2 linked regions of the Coturnix japonica genome follow. The protein of the gene in region 2 binds, or shares a complex with, the protein of the main gene of each other region. Links are inferred from orthologs where the notes say so. Each region holds a gene or a part of one and is shown on either strand. Other genes may lie near its edges.

The links. Proteins that work in one complex are often made in the same cells at the same time.
Region 1: the proteins of CCT4 (region 2) and PDCL3 are in contact, whole or in part, in a cryo-EM structure (PDB 8I9Q), measured with the Homo sapiens proteins. The link is inferred for Coturnix japonica from reciprocal best matches to the Homo sapiens genes CCT4 and PDCL3. Residues at the interface, in NP_006421.2 of Homo sapiens: Val266, Gln271, Met272, Leu276, Glu279, Arg280, Leu312, His315; in NP_076970.1 of Homo sapiens: Ala70, Ile71, Tyr74, Arg75, Arg78, Leu79, Trp82, Lys86.

Annotation. Positions count from the first base shown.
Region 1 is NC_029516.1:119,999,184-120,009,233, reverse strand, and holds PDCL3 (phosducin-like protein 3), read right to left. Parts: upstream 5,624-10,050; 5' UTR 5,523-5,623; coding exon 5,517-5,522; intron 4,702-5,516; coding exon 4,572-4,701; intron 3,951-4,571; coding exon 3,860-3,950; intron 3,543-3,859; coding exon 3,399-3,542; intron 2,967-3,398; coding exon 2,758-2,966; intron 2,146-2,757; coding exon 2,003-2,145; 3' UTR 1,736-2,002; downstream 1-1,735. Other genes in the region: histone H2A, sperm-like, read left to right, coding at 8,156-8,575. UniProt on the Homo sapiens protein: Acts as a chaperone for the angiogenic VEGF receptor KDR/VEGFR2, increasing its abundance by inhibiting its ubiquitination and degradation.
Region 2 is NC_029518.1:13,359,417-13,369,476, reverse strand, and holds CCT4 (T-complex protein 1 subunit delta), read right to left. Parts: upstream 6,860-10,060; 5' UTR 6,715-6,859; coding exon 6,597-6,714; intron 6,240-6,596; coding exon 6,187-6,239; intron 5,917-6,186; coding exon 5,827-5,916; intron 5,275-5,826; coding exon 5,166-5,274; intron 5,041-5,165; coding exon 4,898-5,040; intron 4,576-4,897; coding exon 4,454-4,575; intron 4,313-4,453; coding exon 4,180-4,312; intron 3,850-4,179; coding exon 3,710-3,849; intron 3,448-3,709; coding exon 3,351-3,447; intron 3,046-3,350; coding exon 2,935-3,045; intron 2,704-2,934; coding exon 2,573-2,703; intron 2,489-2,572; coding exon 2,254-2,488; intron 1,738-2,253; coding exon 1,624-1,737; intron 1,380-1,623; coding exon 1,365-1,379; 3' UTR 1,166-1,364; downstream 1-1,165. Other genes in the region: protein FAM161A, read right to left, coding at 1-103, 573-857. UniProt on the Homo sapiens protein: Component of the chaperonin-containing T-complex (TRiC), a molecular chaperone complex that assists the folding of actin, tubulin and other proteins upon ATP hydrolysis.

The sequences.
Region 1 (10,050 bases), on a different chromosome or scaffold from region 2:
TAGCCAAATACCAGGAAGCACAGAGACCATTAAAAATGATGCTCTGCATGGGTGTCAGCAGCTCAGCAGAACCTTCAACCTCTCTTGGTTTTCTGTTATTGTCCCATCTACCCCATTAAGGATGACATTTTCTAATGGCACCCCAAACGTCAACTCATCAAACATCTCAGAGTACAGGATGTACAAGAGTGGAGTAAAAGATGGTACAAGTCATAGGCACATAGCAGTCTCACACGGTTCAGTCATTAGATGCATTTTGTCCTTCTGCCACCCAATGATCAGCACTAGCAGGTGTATCCTCATGCATGCCCAGACTGCTTTGTGAAGGAGACTTGGTGAGAGACCTCTCGTGGTCACTTCCATACTATGTAATGATAATAAATGCATGCCCACATCTGCGGTCTGAAATTAAGAGTTGGCAGTACATAGGCTGTCCTGTCCAGCACTGGTTATAGATATGTATTTAAAAACTGAATGTGCTGAGTAGAGATGAAACATTATCAGTATAGGAAGATGTGCATGGCAAACTCACAACCAGAGCAAGATATCTCACCGTAGGTCCTTGGATGAAAGTACCTGACAGGCACAGAGAGGATGTACTGAAAGCAAAGACTGAAGGCAGAACAGAATACTGCATTGATTCATGGACTGTAACAGGAGAAACCAGTGGTCCAGAGAACCACAAAAGCCTACCTGCAGTTATTGCCCTTCTCCTTCCTTAAAGAGGCTCAAGAGAGCTAGTAACAGAAGCAAAAATGCATCCAAAGCTCTAGCTACTTTTTAGATTATACTTTAAATTGAATGTGTTGAATCAGTGACACAAAATGAAGTTTCTGCCCTCCTTACTAGAAAGTTGATAAGCTTTAAAAATAAATTGAGTAGAGTATGGCAGCTGTGCCTGCGCTAAGACAGCTGAACTGCTAACAGCAGCCAATGTGGAGAGAGAAAGGCTGAGGATATGACATTCATTCCAAACCATCTCACAGAGGGTCTTATTTCAGACCAGCTCTTGCCTTACTTTTTGGATCAAACGCCCCTTGGTGGCTGCTCCTCCCAGTTAGCACCCTCCTAAAGAAGCCCAGCTGATATACTAGAGCTCATTTCAAGGTATGAAACAATACACACTTAAACAAGGGCAAGCAAAGAAAAGCCATGCAGACTTCTGCTAGAATCTGCTTAAATGACTCCTAGAGAAGTAATTTCTTGGCTTTCCTTTGGAGAATAAAAGCGATCCTTTTCCTAGATTGTACAGGCAAGCAGCAAAAAAGGCTCAGGTCTGGTAGCATTTTGGATAGCCCAGTGTCAAGAAGTGTGTCAGTACATACAACATGTAACAACCAACATTTATCAGCTGGCATCCTGCTGCGTTTTGCTCACTTCCACAGTGTTGTTTTAGTTGTTTTACCAAAGAAACAAAAGTCAAAAAGATGTGACACTCAAATCCTCATGCAGATCTCAAGATTTCATCAGTGTCTACTGTTCCAATCCAAAATAAGCACACAGCTCAGTGTCAGAAGAGCTGTAATTCAGGAAAGGAAGAGATAGAGCTGAACTAAGACTTCAGTCATTACTTCTTTACCTTGAAGAGCTCTACACACCGCCCACACTCTCCACCCAGCATCTACACAGGGCAGGCTAACAGAAGGCCAAATTCAGTGCCATGCTGTAACTCACCATGTTTAAGATCAATTATTTATACTAACACACTCAAACCATTACACTTTAGGCCAGATCATATTTTATGCTTTAAAATAAAGTGTCAGCAGTTTATTAATAAAATAACAACAACAGACTTTAGTATCTACCAATACCTGTATTTTAAAACTTGGAGTAAGATTTACTCAGGCTCTGTAATACAAAAAGTCTTTTACAATCTCAAGTGAAGGTGCCTTGAAATGCTCCCCTTCTGGGGTTCAGGAAGATCTTGATGAGCACCTCCAGTCCTTTGGGCAGGAACACTGTCTGTAAGTGTATTGTATCAACCCCGATGCTGATGTAGGAGTTAGTCATCCTCTGAGTCACTCTCTCCCCTGGTTGGGACGCATGCCCTTATGGAGGACATGAGCTGGTCTTGGATCTGTTTCCTGGGGTTCTCCTCAAGGTCTGTCTTGATGGCACCTGACTCCGAGATCTTCCACTCCAGTTCTGCACAGAGCAAAGTAAGAGTGCCATGAATATGGGGAAGCAAACTAGGCTGATTTCCATCTCTGACTCCTTTTGATATATGCTTATTAATTTACCTCGACACACATTTCCTCACCTTTCTGATTTACTCTCAAAAGAGAAAAGGACATCAGATCTTGACAATACTCCTCAGTTCCTCCCAACTTGTTTCTCCAGATGGTTTCTCTTATCACCCTACCACGAACATCATCAAAACCAGGGCCATACTCTCTCCCTCTTTGTTGACAAGCCAACAAGTATCCCTTTACCTCTAATTAAGTCCAGGAATTGCATCAGTTCCACTTACTTTCCAACAGGTAGGGCCTTTTCCATTGCACAACTGTCTCCAAGCACAACTTTATGATACTATTCCCTGCCAACCTGCAAACCACAGCTTTCTAAGTACCTTTACATTGGCCTACACTTGCTGCTTTTAAAATATCACTTCAATCATGTGTTGTTGAGCCAAAAGGTGGGGAGGGAAGATAACGATTATCATCATGCAGCTCTTAGTGATCTCCATTCTCCTTATTCTCACATAACTTCTTTAGTTTCCCACAAAGATATTCACAGCAGATGGATGCAGACACTCACCATCCCTCGTCAAGTTCATGCCACCGAACACCAAAGGCCCAATGAACTGAGCTCTGATGTCTCCTTCAAGGTAGACAAATATCGTAGGCAGATTCTTGTCGGGGTAGTTGGGTATGCAGGTGGTAGAGATAGCTTTGATGAATTTCACATCTCTGAACTTTTTTGCAAGTCCACTTAAATGTTGGTTTATTAAGGCACAGAGTGGAATTCTGCCAAGAACAGACAGAGACACACATAAGAACTAAAAAAGACTCATCTGATAGCAATCTTCTCCAGAAGACAAACCAGTCAGAAATAACAGTTCAGTGGGAAGATCAATGTACCAGAAACAACCTCTGACTACTTCTGTTGTTCAATACTCCAGCATCCAAATAAACTTAGTACCACTAAGTAAACTTAGTGTGGTTTATCTTTGGTTTGTTTGTTCATTTTAATTGCTTTAATTGCTCGTTTTTAATTAAGATACCAGCAGCATCACTTCATGGTAACATCCTTTTAACAGCAAAGCTCAACTCTCTTGAAGCCAACAGAAAGCAAATTACTAGTAACTCCCTTAACTCCACATTGAGTTCCTCAGTTTCCACGTTAACTACACGTTTGTCAGGAGCCAAGAAAGGTTTAGAGGTTAAATAAGATCTTACCCCTGTTTGTAGAGGTGCAGGACTACCCATATGCCTTTCCCAGCTTTTGTAACCTCTTGAACATAATCCTTTCCAGAAATCTCCAAAACTTCTCCAAATTTATTCTTCATTTGAGCCGCTTTCATTTCTGCTAATCTTTGCTGTCTGGAACAACAAAGAATGGGAAAGAGATCTTAAAAATAGATACATTAAAAGTATCTGGCTGAAACTTAGAGGCAGGTTACAAACACGTTGAAACTCCAAAGTGATAAAAGCAAGTTGAAGTAGGCTACAGACATTGTTATATTTGCACCACATATTCAATCTATCAATATGCAGCAAATACAGTTGTGCTCCATGAAAGGAATTTGATGTTTCCTCTGCAGATGCTATGCTATGAAGCCGGACGGTAGAAATAACAAGAGATACACAAGCAAAATAAGAAAGATTTCAATAAAGCAAGTTCCACACGATGCTCTAACCTGTACATTTCAATAGCTCTCTCATCTTCCTCATTAAATTCATCCTCATTTTCTTCTAGCTCCTCCAGAGTCATGTCCTCATATGTTTTCACTAGAAAAGAAGCAGTATCATATCAGCAAGTATCTCATTCTGGGAACAAAACTCATCAGCCTTTCAGTCGAACAGAATTTAGGTATGAGACATGTTTTTTTTTCCCCTCCAACATTACACTACCTTTTCAGATAACATTATGTACTCTATACATATAGATGTAAAGACAACGGTGATTCTAAGCCAAAGGCTGGCTACACTGATACGTAAATACCACAGCTAGCTTTCAAGCTCTGTGACTTCAGCACAAACATACAATACAGCAGGGATGGCTGAATAATGGAGTACACATACAATGTTTGTGAGGTGTTTTATCTGTACATTCATATGACATACTCCTCTGAGACAGTTCTTGTTTTAATTGTATATGTTTCAAAATCATGGAGTTGTCATCAAGAAGAGAGTCTTCCTGCTCTGGAAGAGGCCATATATTCTGGAACGTATTTGTCTGATACTGTTAACAGACACATCGCCCTGCAGAAGAATTAGCTCAGGTATCCAGTCAGGGGGGTTGGAACTTCATGATACTTGAGGTCCCTTCCAACCCAGGTCATTCTGTGACTTTGTGATCCCTCACAGGTTAAGAAGAGGACACGTTGCTTCACAGGCACATGGGCTCACCCAGAGACTTCTGAAGGATTTCAAACTGCTCTTCTTCCTTTGCACGCTCCTGCTCTTCTCGGTTTTCCTTCGGAGGAAGGATCCCTTTCTTACGCAGGATGTCATTCCACTCAGTGTCTTTCTCTGGGTCCTACAGTAAAACAAGAAATGGATGACTGGTATTTAGGAGAGCTTTGGTACGTTCAAGCAAGACATAGCACAGTGATGAAGTGTAACCATCTGGATGCGGACAACATCATAAAGTCACAGCACACATTCTCCTGACACCAAGGCTTCCCAAGACACACTACTTGTGCACTAAGGGCTCTTCAACACTCACAGAATCACAGAATTGTAGGGGTTGGAAGGGACCTCTAGAGATCTCCAACCCCCTGCAAAGCAGCTCCTACACCACTCCACACGATGAGGCGTCCAGGCGGGTCTGAATATCTCCAGAGAAGGAGACCCACCACCTCCCTGGCAGCCTGTTTCCAGGCTCACCCTCACTGTAAAGAAGTTCTTCCGCACATTCATGCGGAACTTCCTATGCTGTACTTTCATCCCATTACCCCTAGTCCTGTCCCCACGCACTACTGAAAAGAGACCAGCCTCACCACTATGGCTCCCACACCTCAGGTATTTATAAACCTGGATCAAATCCCCTCTCAGCCTTCTTTTCTCAAGGCTAAAATAGATGACTCCTGTCATCTATCAACACGCAGAAGTGCTTAAACCACGCACCCACCTGCTTACTTCAACAGCAAAACGCATACTGCCCTTTAAGAGACAAGAGCCCAACCCGGCGCCCCACAACGCCATGCACGGCCGCAGCCCAGCTCGGGGAGGAGCATCGGAAAGACCCGGGGCCGGCAGCCTATACGGCTCCGCACATCGCTCCACCAGGCTCCCCCGCGTTATGAGGCTGGGTCAAGGCCGGGCAAGGCCGCCACGACCCCCGGCTCTCACCTGCATCTTGCCTGCGGGACAGCGGCCTGCGGAGCGGCGGGGCTGGGCAGGGCCGGTCCCGGCGTGCGCGGCGCGGCGAGGCGGGGCTGGCGGACGGGGCGGGGCGAGGGCGGTGTCGCCACTGCCGCTTCCCGGAGCCTAATAAGCGCCTAATAAGGCAGGGCCTGCCGTCAGTTCGGTATAGGCCCGATTGGGGGCTCGGTTCCTTCTGCTGTGGTGATGCTGAGCCTGTGACAGACAGCTACAGACCGTGGGTTTCTGAGGGATTCTCGTCTGCCTGTTGCAAGCGAGCTGTGTGAAAATCCAGACAGTCCTTTCCAAATGAGAGAGAAAGGAGTGAAATCCAGCAGTTCAGGGCTGTGATCACTGACCTGAGGTGCCCGACCACCCTCTGGTGATACCTAGATAGTCACTTTGAGTCACATTGAGATTGATAGCCACAGCTGCAGTTGACAGTGATCATTAAAATGAATATTTGGATGCATGGAATGTGTCCTATAGCCCTGGAGGATTGGAACACTCAATGTTTATGTGCACCATATGTCCATCATTGTGGAAGCTGGGGTTGTCTAAGTGGTGAATATCTTCTCTGGAGATATTCAAGACCCGCCTGGACGCCTACCTGTGCAATGTGGTGTAGGGAACCTGCTTTGGCAGGGGGGTTGGACTCGATGATCTCTAGAGGTCCCTTCTGACCCCTACAATTCTGTGATTCTGTGAATCTACTGCAGGCCCTCTCTATAAATCACAGTATTTTAGTTCTGACCCACAGTTAACACCCGGCAAGCAGAATAGAAGGCTTAATTGTTTCCATAGCTTTCAGTGTACAAATGTTTTGTTGGGGCCTGAGCTTTAAGAGGGCCCTTGCTGGTTAAATATTCATCTTCTGAAGCTGAAAATACCATTCACATGCATGGTTCTTGCACATTGCTCTTGGAACCTGTTTTGGGCACCTAGAAACAACTACAAAAAGGGCATAAGCAGAAAGAGTACACTCATTATTTACAAGGTGAATGAAAAGAGTTCCTGCCCTGACCCCAAGCACCAGAAGCCCATATTTTCAGATTAAGCTGTGAGTTACCAGAGAAGCTCACACCTAGAAGCATCCCCTTCACATCACTTCAGGTGCTGAAGGGCCTCCTCTGCCTAAGGCACCCACAGTACTCTGCTTCCTCCCCACACACAACTTGATTAAAACTCACATTTCCTCTATATACTTATCTAAAGCCTTAGCAGGAAAGTGAGGATTAATTTTTACACGTGGTACATGAACAGAAACATTCCATCCCCAACAACTAAGAGCTGATATTATCACAAAGACTGAGCTACAGGTGTAGTTTAGCCCTTGAAGACAACTTGGGCTTCCACGCCCCCTCCAAGAAGGATTTACCTCAGGGTGTCTGTATTTCTTCCTTTTCCCTCCAATCAAGTGTTTGGAGGAAGATGAGCCACATGTGGGAATGACTCATTAATTGTCCAGGTGAGCCCACTAATGGGGAGAAAATCTTGCTCATAAAAGGCACTGCTCCAGGCTAAGGGAAATGGGTTCCTGAGGATTGTTTGTCTTTGACTGTGGCCTATAGCAAAGTGAAGATTAGGCTACAACAGCTCTTTGGAAGGTAACAGGATATCTTTTTTTCTTCTCTGATGCTTAGGGAAAAAGTTGGGGTTACTTTGTAGAGAAACTGTGAGTGTAGCATAGTATATCTGCAGTGTAAGCTATCAGAAAATGTTTGGTGGGGGTAATAAGCTTTGGCTTGGCTTAGGCTTTGTTATGGGGTGGGTTTTTTGTTTTGCTTCTTCCCTTTTAAACTTTATTCTGTTGTCTTGTAAATACTTAAGTTTTTCTTTTTAAAAGCTACACAAACTATATTAACCTAATAATAGATGTTCTTGTATATTATAAACAGTTGTGCTAGAAGTAGTATTTTAAGTCTGAGTAAATAAGAGAATTAAGTATGTTTTCTACTTTAACTGTGGATATTCTTTAGCTGGACTGAATTTCTTGATTAGAGTTCTAGTAAACTGACAGTAATATCTATGTTTATCATGTATGTTGTCAAAGTTAATTCATTCTCTCTGATGTAGAGTAGCCTCCATAGACTTATGGCAGTTACAGAATCTATTGTGGGATGAGTTTAGAGACTACAGTGGGCTGTGTGAGTGCTTGAGGTGTTGTATGTAATACAAATTCAGAAAATCTAATGTAATAACAGAAGTTTGAATGCAGAGTCCTGGAAAAAAGGGGTAGCCTTGGTCTTTAGCTAGTATTGAGGTAAGTTATTGTTTAAGACAAACCTTGTGTGAGGTCCTGCCTCCATCTTGCCTCAATCTCCAGTACACTCTAAATACTGAGAAACTTTTTTTTGAGCTCTTTGCATCTGCTTCAGTAAGTTTTACTGATTGCTTTTCAAACCACTCTGGCTCATTCAAAAACTGGCTGTTAAGTAGCAGTTATCCTAGATCTATTCTTAATGAACTTCAGTAGGTTGCTCTTCCTACAAGCTTTCTGCTTGGTATAGAAGAGTGGAAAGTGTAACTATCCTTGCTGTTATCTCCTCTTGTTATCAGTTACCTGTATCCAAAGCACCTGGGTAGTGTGAAAACCTCCAATTCTTTGTCTCTCTGTGCTATTTAGAATGTCTGGACGGGGGAAGAAACTTGCAGTGGCTGGCAAGCCTGAAGTTGCACCAAAGAAAGCAAAGTCAGTCCTGGCTGGTCTGCAGTTTCCTGTGGGTCGAGTCTACAGGCTCCTTAAGAGAAGCCACTATGCTGAAAGGATCAGCCCTGGTTCTGCAGTCTACATGGCTGCTGTGCTGGAATACCTGACTGCAGAGATCCTGGAGCTGGCAGGGAATGCTGCACGGGACAACAAGAAGGCCAGGATCCTGCCTCGACACATTCAGCTGGCTGTGAGGAATGATGATGAGCTGAGCAAGCTCTTCTCCTGTGTGACCATCGCTCAAGGAGGGGTTATGCCCAATATCCTTCCCCAGCTCCTTCCCAAGAGAACGCCCAAAAGTACTAATGTGTCTCAGGAACAGCCCGGTAGCCAGTGAAACTTGCTTTTTCTGGTCTGATCTATGCACTTATAATGGGACTCAGCTCTAATTTGTTTAATTCTTTGTAGTTTTTTCCACTGTTTTTATAATGTACTTTTAAAGATTGTAATAAAAGTTCCTGGAAAGCAACTCTGTTCTCCTTTCCACAGCTTCATTTCCACAGAGATGTGATTGCCTTGTCGTTTTCTTAATCTAGCATTCCACCCACATAACTTCTTAAATCTGCTTGTTTACTTCTATAATATGTTTCCAGGTAAAGGTTGTAGAGCAGGCAGAGGAATCAAGACATGTTCGTGTGAATGCTTATCATGAACTCAGTTAGTTCAGCACCTTGCAGGTTAATTCTGCATTAGGAATTGATTACCCTTTGCTTTAACACCTTACTGTTTGGGGAGCTGCAATGAGCTATCTCTTGCAGGAGACTAAACTACTCTCTTCTCCTTGTCATACTGACTACAGGGGGCATACTTAAACCTTGTGCTGTTGGTGGAGGTGATTTTCTTGCTTCTTTCTATTGGTGTGGAATAACTAAAGAAACTCCCAGGCCTTTGCTAACCAACTCATTGGAAGTGAAAGCTTTCCATTGAGAAGGTTCCTAGGCTTTTCTCTCTGTTTGTAGTGGATGTTGAGATTTGCTATTGAGTGGGAAAATGGGATCTGGCGCAAGTGTAGTGGGATCAGTCTGCCTTTGAGGTACTGCCTCACAGACTTCACAGCATCTCACAGAGAAGAGCTGGTTAGGACCATCTTACTAAACTACAAGCAGAGTGAAAACCTGTTTTCTAAGAGATATGCCTGTCATGTTGAATTTGACCTGGGTGCCCTCAAAGCATGAGTATGTCAGAACCTACAGGTCAGCCTTTACAATCTTGAGGGACTTTGGAGCTGTAGTGATTCACAAGGTAAATAGCTCAAAGCTGCACTTGAGTAGGAGTGCAAAAGGAGAAGGATACCTGAGCAAAGTGAACATCTTGAGTTTTTCACAGTAGTGGGCAATTGAAGGTGTTGTATCAGCCTGTTTGCAAAGATCAGTTTGATGAGGTTTTGGCTGGAGTGAGAAAGTGGGGGATGTTGGAGTAAAGAGATGTAAAAACACCTGGAAGTAGACCCATAGCTTTGTGTGTAATGATATATTGTATCATAGAATAATTAAGGTTGGAAAAGCCCTCTAAAATCATTTAGCCCAAGTGTTCTCCTATCACCAATATTACCCACTATGTCCCTCAGTGCCACATCCACACATTCTCAAACACCTCCAGAGACGATGATTCTACCACTTCCCTGGGCAGCCTGTGCCACTGCCTCACCATTCATTTGAAGAAGCTGTCCTTCCCAGTATCCAGCCTGAATGTCCCCTAGCACAACTTAAGGCTTTTCTTCTAGTCCCTCTTGTCCTACATACAACTTCATCCTTGTGCTGTTAACTGCAGAAAGAAATGTTTTAAAGGATATATATAAGAAATAAACGTGTG
Region 2 (10,060 bases):
GGTTCGAGGTGCCCAGCTTGGAGAGCTCTGTCTGTGTGTCACAGCCTGTGCCCGGGGCGATGGGCTGCTCGCTGCCAGGGCCCGGCTCTGTGCCCAGCTCCCCCTAGGGATAGAGGAGGCATTTCTGTGTCAGGCTTTGTGGTTCAGAGGGAAGAGGAATGAGGTTTATAGCGCTGCTTCATTTTATTGTCTCATGAATGAAATGCTACCGCCGAATTTCATACCTCTTACCTATGCACAGACTTTAACACACGCTGCATGGAACAGTCTTCCTGCAGTGCCTTATGGCTTGAGACTGCCGTTTATGGGAAGTTAAATAACGAAGTCTGTCCCTGTGAGCCCTTATCCTTGTATCGGGAAATAGATCCAGAAGGATCTTTTGGAAGGGAAAAGTCCTTTTCTTGCTTAGAACACAGCTCTAAGACAGCCTTAACCGGCACCTCCCCCGCCCGTTTCCATAGCCGCTGTAAAGCGAAGCCCTCCGCTGCTCCTCCTAAGCTCCTTACAGCTCTGCGGCCCATCTGCTCCGCGTCCCACCGAGCCCGGCCCGGCCCCGCCGCTCCCTCCGTTACCTGCGCGCTGTGCTGCGGATCCCGTGGGTTGTGGGCAGCGGGCGCCCGGCTGTGCGGCTCCAGGGGAGCACGGGGGCAGGCGGCGGGCGGCTCCGCGCTGTGCGGAGCCTCCATGGCTGCGTGCAGGGGCGGGGACGTGTCGGGACGGGAGAGGCGGGGCCGCAGGGCCCGGTACCGCAGGGCCCGGTACCGCAGGGCCCGGTACCGCAGGGCCCGGTACCGCAGCCGGCTGCAGGGCACGGGGCGTCTGGGGCTGTGTGAGGGGGCGCGGCTGGTTCCGCTCATTGGTCACCTCCCGTTCTAAGAGGTTTGAGCTCCAGACAAATGGGGGATTATTAGTGAGTACGGGTAAACTAAGGTCAGGAATGGTCTTCTACCTCTTGGAGGTGGAATCATTGAGCACTGAGCCCTGTTAGCACCATGGGATGGCCGGGCCACAGCCCAAATGGGGAACACCTTGTAATGGGAAGCAAAGCCTGGATCAGCTAACTATGCTATGTGAGCTGCAATGATGTGGAACGCTAATGTAAATGCTAATTTAATTCAAACTAGTGAAGTCGACCTCCTTTCTAGTGAAATCATCAAGCAAAGACTCAAGTAGACTGGTGCCTGTTTATTGATAAACAGCATTTCCTTTCCGAAACCAGGAAATGTATTAAATTAACATGAGAAAAGTACATATAAGCATTCGTGGACTTTTAAGACAATTCACACAGGCGCTTCTGGTGAGGAAGCTGCAGCTCAGACCATCTGAGGAGCTGCAGAGCACAGTCCCAGCTTCCTTTATCCAGCTTATCGAGTGTTCACCTGCAAAAGCACAACAGCACATGTGAGAGGTCCACACAATACAGTAACAATGACTTCTTTGCTTATGTATTGTTACAGTCACTGCAACATCTTGCTTTAAGGTACCCTGCTTATGCCAATAGCAGTTTAATTCTCCCGTGCCCTGTTTTTAGATGACCAAATGGTAGAAACAGCTGATAGTATCATCTGTGTTTCCACCTATTCTGGCATTTATCAACAAGAACGTGATACAAACGCTACTCACCACATCGTCAATCTTAAGAATGCTGCGCACAGTTTCTGTTGCCAGAGTCAGGGCGCTCACAGACACGAGCAGCGGCTGCACCACCAGCTCCTCCAGGATGTTGGAAATGCCACCCTGCAAGAGGAAGGCACCATCACTTTGTGCACGTGAGCCTACAACCACGTTTAACACCTTCTAATAGGATCCCAGAAGTGATGCTGTGCTGAGTTAGACTATCAATTAGCTTGCACGCTTCAGTTCTCAACAGGAATATTACTGTAAAGGGCTGCTGCTGAGTATCTGATGTATCCACTCAAAGTGAGCCAAGAGAAAAACCAGCCATAGCTGTTAGCAGTTCAAACAAGACGCTGTCCCAGCAGTACTGCATGTACTACCCCCAACCCTTCTAACCACACCTGCCTGCTTTAAGTTCACTGTGACTCCAGCTGGAAAACTGTTTTTGAAGAGAAATGTGAAGGTACCAGAACGCCATGGATGTAGAATGAGAACCTGCCATTAGCAGTACTCAGGGTAAGTTCCTAACTTTAGCAAGAATTTTGTTCTCTGTATTTCAGATTTCAGGTAGTACATCTTCCTTTTAACAGCCTATTTATTTAAGCTACAGAGTTCTATGTACAACTTCTTCATTACCTTTCTGACATTAATGCCGGCTGTTTTCTCTCCTTGAGCATGCCTGTTCCTCAGCTCTGTTACTGTTGAGATAGGATTGAGACCTGCGTTTTCAGCCAGTGTAGATGGTATGACTTCCAGTGCATCCCCGTAGGCACGCACGCAGTACGAGTCCATGCCCTTCAAAGTGCGGGCGTACTCATTGAGGCGCAGGGCCAGCTCTATCTCTGGTGCTCCACCTCCTGCAATTAAAGCTCTGGGGACAGAAATTGAAGTCAAACTTCGTAAAGAGTTTTCCACGTGAATATACAAAATTATTCTGGCCAAATGGATACGTTACCTTTTCTTAACTAAGCATCTAATGACACACAGGGCATCGTGAATGGAACGCTCGGCTTCTTCTAGAACAAGTTTGTTAGATCCACGTACCACAATGGTTACTGTTTTCCCAGGGTTAGTACAGCCCGTAATCTAGAACAAAGCCAAACAAGAGAAATAAGAGAAAGCCTTCATCTGGTTTGTGCAACTGCACTAACAGTACTGAGGTCTGCTGAGCAAAACCACTGTGCTTCCCAAGCCAGAGGCTCGGCAGGGATGACAAGCAGGTACTTTAAGGCCTCTTGTTACTTATGTTATTACTTTTAAGTTAGCAGTTATTAAAAGAATGGTTCAGAAGGAATTAATCTTCTGTCACTCACTCACCTTTATTAGTTTTCCAGAACCGTTCAAGTTGACTTCCTCTGCCAGTTCAGCAGAGCCCAGCATGTCAGGAGTAAACTGGTCAATATGAGCAACAGGCTTAGTTCCAATGGTCTGCAAAAATAAGAGTAGAAACAAAGTAAGGAAACTAATCTGAACTGCAGAGTCAGCAGCCATGCTCCATGGTGTACTTCAGTAAAGCACAGGTACTACTGCTGCTCTTACATCCACCCTTTAAAGTGGGACAGCTCTACTGAACGGGAATGTCTTTCAGTGAAACATCTTTGTCTGCCTTTACACTACATTCCCAATGTGAGATTTGTTCAAGTGTGAAGAGACTGGCACTGGCTGGGTACTCCAGTTCTGGTGTCTTCATACACAACTGTTATTTTAGTAGACGTTTATGTAACTCACTTTACCTTACATATAAACTCAATGTCTTCTCTTTCAATGTCTTTAACCACCATGATCTTCATTTTGTTCAGAAAATGCAGGGCGAGGTCACTAAGAGCATCCCTAAAAACAAGAGGGGAGCACTCAGTCCAAGGTATTATTTTCATAACCGCTTCTTGGCAGTAATGCTGAAATTCTTCAGACTACCTTGTAGGGATATCCTGAAATCCAGAACCCATTAGTGACAGCACCAGCCCTGAGAGCGACAGATACAGTCTATCACTCCGTATCAACCTGATCTTTGACTTCCACTTTACAGAACTACAAACAATTCCCGCTGTTCCCCAAACGACCAAAGCAGGTGAGCAAACCAGCACTGACGTACCGCAGAATAGACTTCTGGATCAGCAGCACGTTGCATCCAGCCTTCTTAATTTGCTTCACTAAGTTTAGAATATAAGCTCTCTCCTCACGCAGTACTCTGTCCATTTGAGCGTAATCAGAAACAACAATTTGGTTGTCCATCTATTGAAAAAGAAACAAGTATCATGAACGAGTGCTCATTTTATAAGCATTGGGATGCTATATATTCTTTGATTTAATAGCCTGTGATTTAAAGTACGTACAAACAGATTACAGCCAAATGTACTATTAGAATTTGTTTCTATGAGAGATACTGGAGTTCTGAACTGTTTTCTCATGCCAGCTACAAATTGTTTAAGAGTTATGAGTAATGGGGGTTCATTACTAGCAGGCCTTCATTACAGCTGTGGAATAGAGCTGCCATTACCACATCTTAAACAAGATCCGTATTTTGCTGTTACATTTACGTTTTCTCACTTGAGTTAAACTTACATCTGTCTTTGGAGCAGAGAGGCAGAACTGAATTAGGCCAATTTTGGCCTTTTCCACTCTAGTTACACCTGTGTTGGCCACCTTCTGAGTCAGGACCAGCCCTTCCACCAGCTCACAGTCGTCAATTGTTCCTCTGCAAACAAAAACAATCCGTGGCTATTAGTGCCTTGGGAAGCAATTCCACAATGACACAGGCCTATAATTAAGATAATTAATTTAGATTTAAATAAGAATATCTAAATAATTTAGATAATTAAATAAGATTGTTTCTTACCCCAACTTCTTCACTATTTTAATATCTCTGAGGTCCACGCTGTTAGCCATAGATGGGTCAATCACCTTCATCACTGCATCCACGCTCATGGGAGAAAGTAAGCTGGAATACTGACACACAACCTAAAGGATTTAATGAGGGAAGGGAGAAAAATACATCAGCAATGCATGATTTAACACTGATCAAAAACAGCCAGCAGTTTCTCAAGGTTCTTATTCTGTTTTAGTTTGACTTTATAATCTTGGAAAAAAAACCAACAATTCCCCTCTCTGTCCATCAGGCAGGTGCATCAACGTGGTTATCTTCTTAATAAGAGGAAAGAAGAGCCCCACTGGTGGGAAGAAATAAGCTCAGGGACTTTGGAAAACGAATTTGACTTTATTTCTTTGACTCTTAAAATAAAACCATTGAGAGCTTTGCAGATTGTTCACGTATCAGCCATACCTTTGAGTTCAGTGATGTAGTTGCACTGTTCAGCAGGGTTTCTCTGTCGCTCAGTTCCACTGGCTGTGCCATGTTGGTCAATACCTCAATACCTTTCTCCAAAGCTTTCTGGAATGACTCTGAAATGATGGTGGGGTGAATTCCTGTGAATAACATAGAAGGTTGTTAGGTCACCCTTGCAAACCAGCGGTCTTTCCTCCTCTCTCCAAACCAGTCTTATATATGAAATATGTATTATATGTTATATATATAAAATAAATATGCTTGCCTTTCTGAAGGAGTCTGGAACAGGCATCCAGAAGAGCTCCGGCAATGACAACAACAGATGTAGTACCATCCCCAGCTTCAATATCTTGTGCTTTTGACAGCTCTACCAACTAAATGGACGAGAGTTTAAATGTAATGTGACTTCACTGAAAACTCTGACAGTTAGAAATAAAAAAGATATGACAGAACACAGCACTACCAGAATTACCCACAGTACCAGGGCTTATCTTTTCTAACTTGCAGCTTCTCATACGTGTATGCATATTTGGCTGGAGCAATAACAGAAGCCTCCAACAAAATAAAAGCTGTATCCTAGGATCACCAGATCATCATGTCATTTGTTTTCTTCTTTGACTCTCCTTTGTCCTACTGGTTCAGGACATCACCAACTTTTCTTTCTCAGATAAGAAAAGCTTTGGGTCAAAAACCTTTTATATCTTCAACCGTATCCAGAAAAGATTATTCCTAAGCAGTAAGAAATAAGGACCTGGAATCCTTTAACGCATCTCACAATCAATGTCAATAGACCTGAAGCACTCAGCAGAAAGGCTGTTGCTCTATCACAGACGACACCCACGTGAGACATTACAATCTGTGTTCACTTGTCCCAGAAATGAACCTCTACCGTGTACCGTTGTGCAAGTGATGTTACAAGTATTTACCATTTTGGCTGCGGGGTGTAAAACCTGCATCTGTTTCAGGATAGTAGCACCATCATTAGTGATTGTCACGTCTCCTTTAGCATCCTGAATCTGAGAAGGAGAAACAGCACTGGTTGGCAGCTAGTAATGTTTATCGTGATTCAGCGTCAGACAGCTTGACAAATAACCTTGTGAGGAAAACTGAGATAAGAATTTAAGCTACATTTTACTACAAAGAAATAACATTTGATCATAAAAACAAAGGAGTGCTTTCCAAGCTTGGAAAAGCAGCTTAAGACAAAGGAGCACATTGGTGAGTTACACAGGGCATGACAGTCTCTTCAGCAATCTCAGTTTTTGTATTTCCATTAAAAGCCTTACCATTTTATCCATTCCCTTTGGTCCGAGGCTCGTTCTAATGGCATCAGCGACAGCTGGAAAGAGAAGAACGCCATTTACAAGATGATCTACAGAGCTACAACCACTCATACACCATCCTCAACAGCGTCTCCCACTACAAAGGCACCCTCCTCATTTTACCAGCACCGAGTCACACTCAAGAACAGAACAGCAATAATACAATAATACAACGGGGCCATTTTTGCAGCTTGCCCCTGAAGCTGGCCGAGCCTTCCCGCTTTAAGGCGGCAGGAGCGAGCAGAGCGTACAGCGGCCTGTAAGTACATCAGCCTATCAGTACATCGGTCTATCAGCACAGCGGTCTATCAGCACAGCGGCCTATTAACACAGCGGCCTACCATCAGGCAGCGCCGATGCCCCGCGGCCCTCACCTTTGCCGGCGGAGATGTTGCTGAAGCGGATCTGGGAGGGCTTGTCCCGGTCCTGGTACGTGCCCTTGGCCCGATTCCCGGCCCCGCCGTGCGCTTTGTGTCCCGTGTTCTCCGGCATGGCCGCTCGCCGCCGACACACCCCCGGTCCGAGCGGATGGGGACGGATTCGCCCCGCTCAGCTCACGGAGCCGCGAAGCTTCCAGAACACGCCGCCACAGCCCCGCAGCGACACCGGGTCCTCACAGCCGGCGCCAGGCGGCACGTCACGCATAGAGCTGTCTGCGCAGCGCCTGAGAGCTGGGAGCCAAGAATTCCCTTCGTGCAGGCGAGCTGCGCGGACACCTAAAGGAACAGGCCGCGCGGGGTCCTGCAGCACTTCCCGCGCTGTGGTGTTACCTCAGGGCTGTGGAGGAAGCACAGTGTAAAGCTGTTGCTGTCACAGTCACCTTGTTTTACCTCACTGTGTTTGGTCAAAACAAAAGCCTCTCTAATATCGAAGGTAGCTTAGGGCTGAGGCTTGCTGCTTGCTCCGTTGTGCTTAGAGCCAGCATGCACTTCCAGTCTTCTTGTTTGAGAACTAGATTTAGGCCGGGAGGTGCCGGCACGTTATCTTGTTCTTCTTACCCTCTTACCATCGTTTCTGACTGTTCTGCCCTCCAGAATTTGCAGGGAGCAGTGAGAAGAATCGTACTGTTCTCATAGACTGATTTAGCAGTCTGGGTTTTCCCGGCCAGCAGCCCCCTTCTTGATCTTTAGATGTCCATGGTTCTCCTCTACCCCATCAGACTGGCAGATCTCTTCCTGGTCATAATGCTACAAAAAGAGTAAAGAACAGATGAGCTGCTGCAAAGCAGTACAGGACAGGGACTGTCCCTACTGATAATCCTCATCACTTCCACTTACTGATCTAAAAACAGGTGAGCACCTCAGTACGAAACAAAGAGTTGTGTGATCAGCAACACAAGCATCTAGAAACTGAAGTTGCAGCTGAACTTATTCACACCGAGGTCCTTCCTTTCCTTCATCAACACTCTGGAGGGTTTTGTTAACTCTGGGGAGGTTACGGTGGAGAAAAGAAGCTGCTGGAGGCTGAATCGTGGCAGAATGTTGGGGTAAATGCTGCTGAGCCTTTGAAGAATTGCCGTTTGGTTAAGGGGTTTAGGACCACAAGTGCAAGCTCCGTTTCTTCACTAAGGTGTTTCCATGTGGAATAGTACCGAGGGTGATTCCATCCTCTCCCTGTAGGTGGCAGCAGAGCACCAGTCTTGCTCTGAGGGGTTATTCCCTGAATACATTGTTTCCAAAAAAACTGCTATTTATCGTCTTGCTTGATTATGTCTTAAAGAGGTTGAAATTACTCTTGATATGCTGCCCTGCTTCAGAACAAACTACGTACTTTGGATTGCTGATAAAAAGTACCAGGAGTTGAAACGTTGTTTTCTTTTATGAATGTTTGTTTCCATGGACATGAAGCATGTTCCCACCTGTGATAAATATCTCTATTTCATACATGAAGCGTGAACCAGATCCTTCTTGGAAAGCAAGATTCTGAGCCCTCAGAAATGACATCTGTTGCGCTGAAGACGACGTGGTCTCTCAATTCCCTTGCAGCCCACAAAGCTGTGAGGTGTCTGAGCCTTGAGGAGAATGACTTTTCTTCTGAGTGGAGGCCTTTTCAGGGATCATCTCTCTTTTTCCAGAGTTTCTTCTATGTAAATGACTCCATGAGACTCAGGGACTGATTTTGAAATACTGAGCAAGGAGGAGGAACAGCACGCACCTCTGCTGCAATGCCCAGGGGATGCACCCACACGCACTGCGGGCTGTTTTGGCCTTCCTTTGCTTGAACTTGGACCTCTAGAAAGAATAAAAGCCTTGCCAAGTGAGTGGAAAAGGATCTTAGGAATGCATGTAACATTTTATTCTCAGAGAGAAAGGCCGGGGAAACAACTGAAACAAGCTTGTGAGAAAGCATGTTTGGTGCTCAGAGTGCTTCCCCCAGGTGATCTTCCTTTCATGAGAGGGATGGGATAAATAGGACAGCAAGTTGAGCTGCTACATGGTAAGTGGATTTACTACTGATCACTTTTGGGTAGCTAGTTTTGTTAGCTTGTAAGATTGGTTCAGAGATGTATGGGTGTACCTTTGTCATACATCCAAAGGTTTGTTTTAGCGTTTGGAGCTACAGAGCAGGATTGGACTGAAACACGAATATGGGGAGGAACAAGCAGGCGGAGCAGAGCTGGGAGAACAGCAGCTGTCGGACTCCACCCGCAGATGGAATAGTTTGTGTTTTGCTCCCTGGTTGCTCTCCTCACTGCTCTGACCCCAGCCAGCACTGGGGGAGGCCGCTCAGCTGCTTGTGTCCATCTGCAGCACTGAAACAAAGGGAAGTGTCCAAAGTGGTCACTGCTCCTGTTTACAGGAGTGACAGCTCTGCTTTTGGGAGTCGGGGAATGGGGATGGTGCTGAGTAATACTTCTCTGCAATGATATGTACTTGGATCATGTAGAAGCTATAAATTAGGCTTCAAGAAAACTTTCAGCCTTGCTTTTTAGTGCTTACTAGGGCTTCTGAAGACCTTCTTAGTCTGAAAACAGAGCCTGCTTTACCTGTCTCTGCAAAATGCTGCTGCTTTTATCAGCCTCATCTTGGCTGTGACCCATGTGATGGAAGCAGCAGTTCTTGCCATGTATCTGTGAGGCTCTGAGCACTTCTCTGGCTTTTGCTTGTACTTTACATTTCTGCTCAGCCTGTTATCACAGCATTGTATGGTTGGAAGGGATCTCTGGAGATCATCTAGTCCAACCTTGTCCTTGAGCAGGTTCCCTAGACTAGGTTGTGTAGGAAAGCATGCTGTTTTTTTAATGCTTTTTTGTAGTGGGAAGTGAAATAGTGAGGTTACAACAGATGCAGAACTACACAGGTAAGTGGGGGTAGACATGATATTGCAAAAGAGGAAGCTAGACAGGAATGTTTTCTTTGTTTTACACTTATCCATCGTTATAATAATGCTGGCTACACTTGTGATATGTACAAAAAGCGAGGAGTATATCATGCACTACAACATTAGCTCTATCAGTATGTTTTTAATCTGTGACCTTCAGGTCTTTGTTAATGCAAATCCAGAGATCCAGTTCATTGTGACTATCTGGTCTGGCTCAACCAGCACATGATATGACATCTTTATTTCAGGTTGTTACTAGTAAAGCTGATGATAAGCAAGGTCAGGTTTGCGTGGGGAAGTAATGACCTTTTCTAAAACATGTGATACAGAACTTCATCACAAGTGGTCTATTAAATAATATTGTCTCTGTACAACCGTATCTTCCTGGATTGTAAGGAATTAAGACAAACTGGGCTCAGTGAGCACTGCCTTTAAACAAATTCATGGTGCTTGTTCAGAAATTCTTAGAAGGAACTGGTTAGTTTCCCTAGAGGGAAAGGAATCTGCGTTACCTGTG